2 linked regions of the Mus musculus genome follow. The protein of the gene in region 1 interacts with the protein of each later gene in a pairwise test. Links are inferred from orthologs where the notes say so. Each region holds a gene or a part of one and is shown on either strand. Other genes may lie near its edges.

Evidence for each region. The genes of interacting proteins can lie anywhere in the genome.
Region 2: the proteins of Gopc (region 1) and Rnf183 interact in binary tests that used the Homo sapiens proteins (3 or more experiments, as listed by UniProt). The two-hybrid records come from large-scale screens. The link is inferred for Mus musculus from reciprocal best matches to the Homo sapiens genes GOPC and RNF183.

What each region holds. Positions count from the first base shown.
Region 1 is NC_000076.6:52,379,299-52,383,441, reverse strand, and holds the start of Gopc (Golgi-associated PDZ and coiled-coil motif-containing protein), read left to right. Parts: upstream 1-1,317; 5' UTR 1,318-1,543; coding exon 1,544-1,831; intron 1,832-4,143.
Region 2 is NC_000070.6:62,431,797-62,435,907, reverse strand, and holds the start of Rnf183 (E3 ubiquitin-protein ligase RNF183), read left to right. Parts: upstream 1-1,267; 5' UTR 1,268-1,443; intron 1,444-4,111. UniProt on the Homo sapiens protein: Acts as an E3 ubiquitin ligase catalyzing the covalent attachment of ubiquitin moieties onto substrate proteins. Triggers apoptosis in response to prolonged ER stress by mediating the polyubiquitination and subsequent proteasomal degradation of BCL2L1.

The DNA.
Region 1 (4,143 bases):
TGGTTAGTTTTACTTGTCTAAGTTTGCTGAAGTCATAATAGCTTTTGCTTGATGGTAAGCAGTCATGCATTGGAGTAACCAGAGTGCAAACTAAATCTGTTATTTCTTAATTCTTATTGGTACTGCTTTGATGAGAGGCACACAATGCCATGCAGACTTTGGTTGATGATTTATTAGAAAGGTCCGTCCCAAGAACAACTTCCGAAAGATTATGGACTAATTTTCCACATACTCCCGTAGGCGAGTCAGGAAGCACAATTCCTACCTGCCTACTCTAATTAGTCTGGCTTCTCCTTTCCCTTCCGGACAGTCTACTGTTGGTTTAGACAGGGGTGGAGTTGGAGAAGTGGAAGAGATGAGAGGCAGGACACAAAGAAAGCTCTTGATAAATGCTCTCAAATGCACGCAACACTGGAATTAAAAGTCGTGAGAGCCTCACTGTCTTACTAGTTCGGCTTGGATGAGGTCGTTTCATTAGATTTTATGTCCTCAGTGCCTCAATCGGGATATGTATTCAATGTTTATGAACATATGAAAATAACATGGGAACGAGCACAATACTAGTTTATAAGATGATTACAGCATCCCAAGTGGTTGCTTTAGAAATATACGATCTGTGATGCAGTAAGATGAGTGCTATGTACCAAGTGATAACACTTTCACTTTACCTTAATTGCCAAGTGAAGTAAACTTTGGAAACCTTGTTACCCAAGCAAGGTAACACCACTGAGGTGGGGCAGCTAGTATGTAATAATACATTGGCCTAGAACCCCAGCTTGTCAATCATAGAAGGAGGAACCATTGATTCAACAAAACTTGCTCAGTAGCTTCCATAGGCAGCTTCTGGCTGGAATGCACCGTCAGGTTTAGCAACATTAGCCAGTGTCCCCACCCTCCCGCCCTAAGAGCTGGAAATCGGAAGAGAAAACGTGGCTATTGCGCATGCACACACGGCCCTCCCCGCTCCCACCCGAGCCCCTTGACACCCCAGTAGCAACTTTGCTAGACGTCTGTGGACCGGTTCCAGGCCCACTGTGAAGCCAAACTGGCGGAAGCCGGTCCCCTCTGCGACGTGGAATCTTTCCCTTCCCTTCCTCCGGTCTTCCCCACTTGCAAGGGGCCACCTCAACCCTTTGCTTCTCAGGGTTTTGCCGGTCGTCAAAATGGTCGCAGACAGGCTTGTGGAGGCGAAGGCTTTTCATTGGCTAAGCTCTCGTACGGCCCCGCCCACTTTCTCCCTCTGGGCTGCGCCTGCTCTGGGCTCCGCTACGCACGCGCGGCGGGGGCGGGCCGGCTTGCGGGCGGGGCGGGTCTTCCGTGTCGCTGTCGCTGCTTCAGCCCCGCTTCCTTTGCTGCTCTGGAGCTGCGCTGCCGGCGTTGGCGGCGCGAGGGAAGGGAGGGGACCGGCGGGTGTGTGTCTGTGTGTGTGTGCGTGTGTGTCTGTGTGTGCGCGCGCGCGGGGGGCGCCGCGGTGCTAGCAGTTCCCCTCGCGCGGGGCGGGCGGCCAGAGTGAGCAGCAGTCGGCGAGGCCCTGGACGGCGCCATGTCGGCGGGTGGCCCATGCCCGGCGGGAGCCGGCGGCGGCCCAGGGGGCTCCTCCTGCCCTGTGGGGGTCTCCCCTGGCGGGGTGTCCATGTTCCGATGGCTTGAGGTGCTGGAGAAGGAGTTCGACAAGGCCTTCGTGGATGTGGATCTGCTTTTGGGCGAGATCGATCCGGACCAGGCGGACATCACTTATGAGGGGCGTCAGAAGATGACCAGCCTTAGCTCCTGCTTTGCGCAGCTATGCCACAAAGCCCAGACTGTGTCCCAGATCAACCACAAGCTTGAGGTGAGCCTCGGGGGCTGGCAGCAATAGCATTCAACCCCAGGCTGTCCGAGGTCGTTAGATCCCATTTAAAGCACTAGGAAAATGATCCTTAAAAACCTACCCACTGGACACCTCAGCTTCGAATGCGATGGAGAGTGCGTTTTATACGTGAGTGAAGCAAAGGAGTGCGGAGCGGGTGGGGGAGGAAAAGGATGCAGACTGATGTGTGGGTCTCCAGACGTCCTGTCATCCACCTCCCAGCATCTCATGCGGTGGGGACAGGAGCTAATCACACTACCTGCCTTGTAGGTGTTATTACCAAGATCTTCTGTCGGGGAATACCTCAACTCTCCTCTTCTGCTTTGATAATGACAAGCTAGATGATGTATTTTCAGACAGATGCAGCTCTGATTATTTTCATCCAATAGCCCAGATCAACGTCCGTGTCTGTACACAGAGACATGCATGAACTTAGGGGAATCCGATCAAAGCTCTTGGGGAAATGTAATGGAATATATATGTTCCTATCTACCTTCTCAGTTTACATTCACACTTGGCAGATATTACGGGCAGCTATGTCTTTAGAGCTGTCAATATTCAAATAACTTCTAGTATTGAGTGAGATGGTATGTCTTTGTATTTTACAGTATTTTCCCTAATTTCAGACCTTTGAGACTATGTAAAGACAATCCTTTGCTTAGGTCTCTAATCAGAGCAAGGGGAGTGTGATTGCAAACAGGAATTCCAAACCTCCCATTTTGTGTGGAAAATTCAACTAGGCCAGTATTACAAGATTTAGAAATTATGGTGTACTAACATTATATGGGAAACCTTTTAAAAATAGACAATTTCAGTAGAGAGTAGCTCTTTGATTTTAAAAAGGATTAAAAAAAAAGAGAGATACTTTGTTATGTGTGAAGTTCTTTGTGCCTTAGCTTTCTTAAGAGCTCCTCTTTACTGTTAACTGTAATAATGATAGGGCCTGTTGTGTACAGATTCATGTGTATGCTAGATTGGTTTCCTGTCCTTGCTTAGTGCTCAACAGTCTTTCATATTAGTTAGCCATGAAAAACATTTGCCACTAATATTTGATTAGCATCTTACATATTCAGGATGCTATGGTTTCTTTTTGGAAAGAGTGGGATGAAAGTACTTATGTAAAAGCATTAAGTGTAGATAAGGCTGTCTCTTGATTTTTTTTTTTTTTCTCCAATGAATGGTAATTCCTAAAGCTGAGTTTTCAGGTAGTATTTAGTGGCTTTTAAAATGGTATTTTAGCTTTAAAGATCAAAGATTAAGAGTAGCTTTTGCCAAATAACTTACATACCATCTCCATATTTAACCATATACTGGAGATAAGTGGCTTTTAAAACATAAAACAATTTTAACTTGTTTTTTAAATGACCTAAGGAAGCTAAACAATAGTACTTTCTGATGTTAGCAATAAGGTCTGATTTTGAGAAAAATATTTTTTTCCCTATGACTAGAAGGTATTCAAGTTTTTTAAATTTTTAAATAATTTGAAAGAATATTTCTCTACTAGACTGTGCATGTAATAACTTGCGTGTTTTTTTTTCCAGGAAATTATACTTACATATTCTAAGTCCATGTCCCATCTTAGGAAGTAGCATTACTTCTTAAAGTAAAGAATGCTAGCATATCACAGTGTGTGGTTTTCAGTATAATTGCAACTCTTGATTCAGAGACCTTAGAAATGATGAGGAGGATAATTTGGTTTTTCTGCTTAGTATATTCAACTATACATGATTCACCTGTGACAATTTTTATACATAAGACATCTTACATAGTTTTCGTATTATAACTGTGTACTGCTGTGAAAAGACTTATGGCCAGTCACAACTTTCCAAGTACACCTAGTGTGCCATATTCAGACTCTTGGGATGTTCTGTGAACTGTTGACAATCTACTGAGATCCTCAGTGTTAATCTTATAAGAGATTTTGGTGCTTTCTTACTCAGTCTTAATTTTGTCTCAATAAGTAAACTAGGCCTTCTGACTAGTCTTTAAGGATGCTGAAGTCATAGGTGACGCTGCTTGCTATCCGTGTAATAAACGTATACCAAGTTTAGTTGTTTCAGAGATTAGTACTTATAATAGAATGTTTTTATAGTCTCAAGACATGGATAACTCCAGGGTGGGTAATTTGTATCCGTAATCTCAGTCTTTAGATGGTGGAGACAGGAGGATCAGAAGTTTCAGGCCAGTCTGGGCCACATGAAACCCTGTCTTAAGAAAACAGATATAGATAAATGAATAAAACAAACAATACTTACACAAAAGGAACGTTCATATCCTTCCAAAATGCAACTTTT
Region 2 (4,111 bases), on another chromosome or scaffold:
TGGGTTGGGGAGTAGGGCATGGGGAGGGTACAGGGGACTTTTGGGACAGCATTTGAAATGTAAATGAAGAAAATATCTAATAAAAAAAAATGAAATGTAGCCGGGTGGTTGTAGTGCATGCCTTCAATCCCAGCACTTGGGAGGCAGAGACAGGCGGATTTCTGAGTTTGAGGCCAGCCTGGTCTACAAAGTGAGTTCCAGGACAGCCAGGGCTACACAGAGAAACCTTGTCTCAAAAAAAACAACAACAACAAAAAAAAAGTAAAAAAAGAACTTCTATGTGTGTGCTTCATTTGCATTTTTCACTCTTTACCTGGTCACGCTATAGTGATAATAATAATAATATAGTTCTAACTCACCCCTACTGTGTTTCTTCGTGCCGTTTACTGTGTAGTAACACTTGTAGATATTATCTCCTTTACTCTGCAGCCTGAGTAGGTAAGTGTGTGTGTGAACTCACACATGGGCATGCGTGTAGCACCCAGAGGAGACTGTCAGATGTTTTTGCTGTATTTCTTTGAGGCAGAGTCTTTCGTCAAACTGGAAGCTTGCTGCTTGGGCTAGGCTGGCTGGCAGGCTCCCAGGACCTGCCAGTCTCCACCCTTCACCCCCTCCAGCGCTGAAGCTACAGGCATGCATGCCCAGGTTTTTCCATGAATGTTTGGGATTTGAATGCAGGTTCTTGTGCTCGCATAGCAAGTACTCTGACCACTGAACTGTCTCCCTAGTTGCACCCCACAAGGAAGGTGGATTTCTCCGCGCAGCTGCAGGTGAGGAACTCAAGGCTTGGAGAAGTGAAGTCCTGCCCTCACTACCTGTATTGATTCAGAAGCCACTGACTCTGGATACCTATCGGGTCGGTGTCTGGCTTGTTGAAGAATTCAGGCACTTGCTGCTCATGCTTACCAGGCCTCAGTCTGTCTCTGTCCCTGTCCCTGTCCCTGTCCCTGTCCCTGTCCCTGTCCCTGTCCCTGTCTCTGTCTCTGTCTCTGTCTCTGTCTCTGTCTCTGTCTCCCTCTGCTGGGTTATCTGCTTTGGTGTGCCTTCATTGCAAGGGCTCAGAGTAGCCATGTATCTGGTTTCAGGGATCTCCTACCTACCTACCAAAGCCAGGATAAGTGTGAGTCCAGACAGGTCAGCCCAGGGTAAAAAGGCTAGGGCCCCTCCCTTTCTAGAACAGAAGCTTGCAAGGATGAGTGGACTTCCTCCTGCCAGCTCAGAGAAAGCAGGGGTGACTCACAAAAGCAAATGTCCAGGTCTTTTGTATATGCAGAGTTCCAAAGTCATCCGAGGAAGGAAGAAGAAAGCCAGCCAGAGAGTGGACCAAGAGCTGGGGAGACCCATGCAAAAGAGGCTGGCTCCCAGCAACCTGGAAGCCAGCGAGGAAGCCAGCGCAACCTGCCTCAAGGCTGGGCTGAGAGAGGAAGAAGCTGGCTGAAGCTGGTAAGGAGTGGGAGAGGGAGGAGCAGGTGTGCTTTTTGGTGTGAACTCTGACCTAGGAGGCAGGCTTCTGGGTCAATTTTCAAGCTCGGCCTCTCCGGCTCTGAAGCTGGTGCCCAAGTCACTGTACATTCTGAGCCTGGGTTTTCCCACCTAGCTTGTAGGTCTTTATAGACTCATTTGAACGTGTGTACTGACCACCCTGTGTGGTACACTGAGTGAGGCTGGCTTCTTCCTCACAGAAATAGTAAGAAGGGGTCATGGGCTTCCTCAACAGAGGGAAGCAGGGTTCGGAGAAGTGAAGCCATTGAGTCATATCAGCACAAATTGGTGAGACTTTTCACTCCCTGGTCTATTCTTGTTTCTGGGTTTAGCCAATCAAATGGCCTCATGAAAATGGAAACAGTTTGTAAAAGGCAAAGATGTTCTCTAAAGGTTACCATACACAGCTTCTAGCAAGAGCCAGCCCTTTTGGTCTGGATGCCAGTTCTCCAGCTTGCTGTCAGGATGCTGAAAACATAGGGGTGGGCAGATGCTATAGACAAGTTTCTGTTAATGATGACTGCAGGGAGGTATTTAGAATTTACTGTTGCTGAGCTGTTCTGCAGGAAGCTGGGGCCTGTAAATCACTGGCGTCTTGGTCTCCTAGAGACACTGACCTCTGTGCAGTGGGTGCCTGAGAGAAGCTCCTCAGAGAAGGACCCAAGCAACCGCTACCATCTTTTTTTCTTTTTTTCTTTATTTTATTTTTATATATATATATTTTTAAGATTTATTTATTGATTATACGTAAGTACACTGTAGCTGTCTTCAGACACTCCAGAAGAGGGAGTCAGATCTCGTTACAGATGGTTGTGAGCCACCATGTGGTTGCTGGGATTTGAACTCTGGACCTTCGGAAGAGCAGTCGGGTGCTCTTACCCACTGAGCCATCTCACCAGCCCCCATCTTTTTTAATTGAACATCCATTTAGAGCTATGGTCATGAAACCTCAGAGAATGTAGGTCTGATCTAGGGTGGTGAAGGGAGATCTTTAAGGATAGCGAGACAAGTTGACTGGAATAAGGTTAACTTTAAAAAAAAAAAAAAAAGGGAAATTTTCCCCATTACTATCCCAACCACTTTCTTTGCTGGGAATTGAACTCAGGACCTCTGGAAGAGTAGTCGGTGCTCTTAACCACTGAGCCATCTCTCCAGCCCCCAAGGTTAACATTTAAAATATATATATACATACACACACACACACATATATATGTACACATACATATATGTACACACACATATGTACACACACATATATGTATTTATATATATGTACACTGTAGATGTTTACAGACACATCAGAAGAGAGCATCAGATCCCTTTCATGTGGTTGCTGGGATTTGAACTCAGGACCTCTGGAGGAGCAGTCAGTGCTTTTTTTTTTTTCTTTTTTTTTCTTCCGAGACAGGGTTTCTCTGTGTAGCCCTGGCTGTCCTGGAACTCACTCTGTAGACCAGGCTAGCCTCGAACTCAGAAATCTGCCTGCCTCTGCCTCCCAAGTGCTGGGATTAAAGGCTTGTGCCACCACTGCCCAGCTGCAGTCAGTGCTCTTAACCTCTGAGCCATGTCTCTGGCCCCAACATTTTCTTTTTAAAAAAAATAACTTATTTTATTTGTGCATTGATGTTTTGCCTGCATGTATATCTGTGTGAGTATGTTGAACCCTGTGGAGCTAGAGTTACAGACAGATGTGAGCTGCCATGTGGACACTGGGAATTGTATCCAGGTCCTCTGGAAGGGCAGCCAGTACTCTTAACTGCTGAGCCATCTCTCCAACCCCAAAGTTAACATTTTCTTTTAAAGATTTATTTAGTTATTTTATGGATATGGGTGCACTGTAGCTGTACAGATGGTTGTGAGCCATCATGTGGTTGCTGGGAGTTGAATTCAGGACCTCTGCTTGCTCTGGCCCTGCTCACTCTGGTCAACCCCAAAGTTAACATTTTCAAGTAATAAAATTAAAGACAAAAGCTGTAGCAATAATCTAAATGGATGGTTTTGCCCACATTGATAACCACTGTTGACATTTAGTTCTTTCTAGGAGAGCTAGCACACACTATTAAGCCTAGAACTTGGGAAGCAGAGGAGAGCTGATCACTGAGTTTGAGGCCAGCCTGGTCTACATAGTCAGGGCTTGAGACCCTACCTCAAGCAAGCAAGCAAGCAAGCAAGCAAGCAAACAAACAAACAACAAAAAACATTTGGTTTTTTATCATCCGGGAGATATTTTTCCACAGTGCAGTGTGTTTTTTAAAGTAGATGATGTTGTGATTGTTTTGTCACTGAATCTTTAATACCTAATAACATTATATCCTAGACACACTCCATAATAAGAAATGTTCTATCACATCATTTTAAAGACTACAGAATATCTTTCTTACATCCATCTTCTGTAACAATACAAACCACCTTCCAGAGAACTGTATGTGCATGTCTGTCTCTGAAGGTGTTTTTCATGCCACTCTCATTATTTCTTCTCTCTCTCTCTCTCTCTCTCTCTCTCTCTCTCTCTCTCTCTCTCTCTCTCTCTCTCTCTCTGTCTCTCTCTTTCTCTCTCTTCCTTCCTTTTTCTTCCTTTCTCTTTAAATTAAAATTTTATAGCTAGTTTATGAAATGACATGCTTTATCA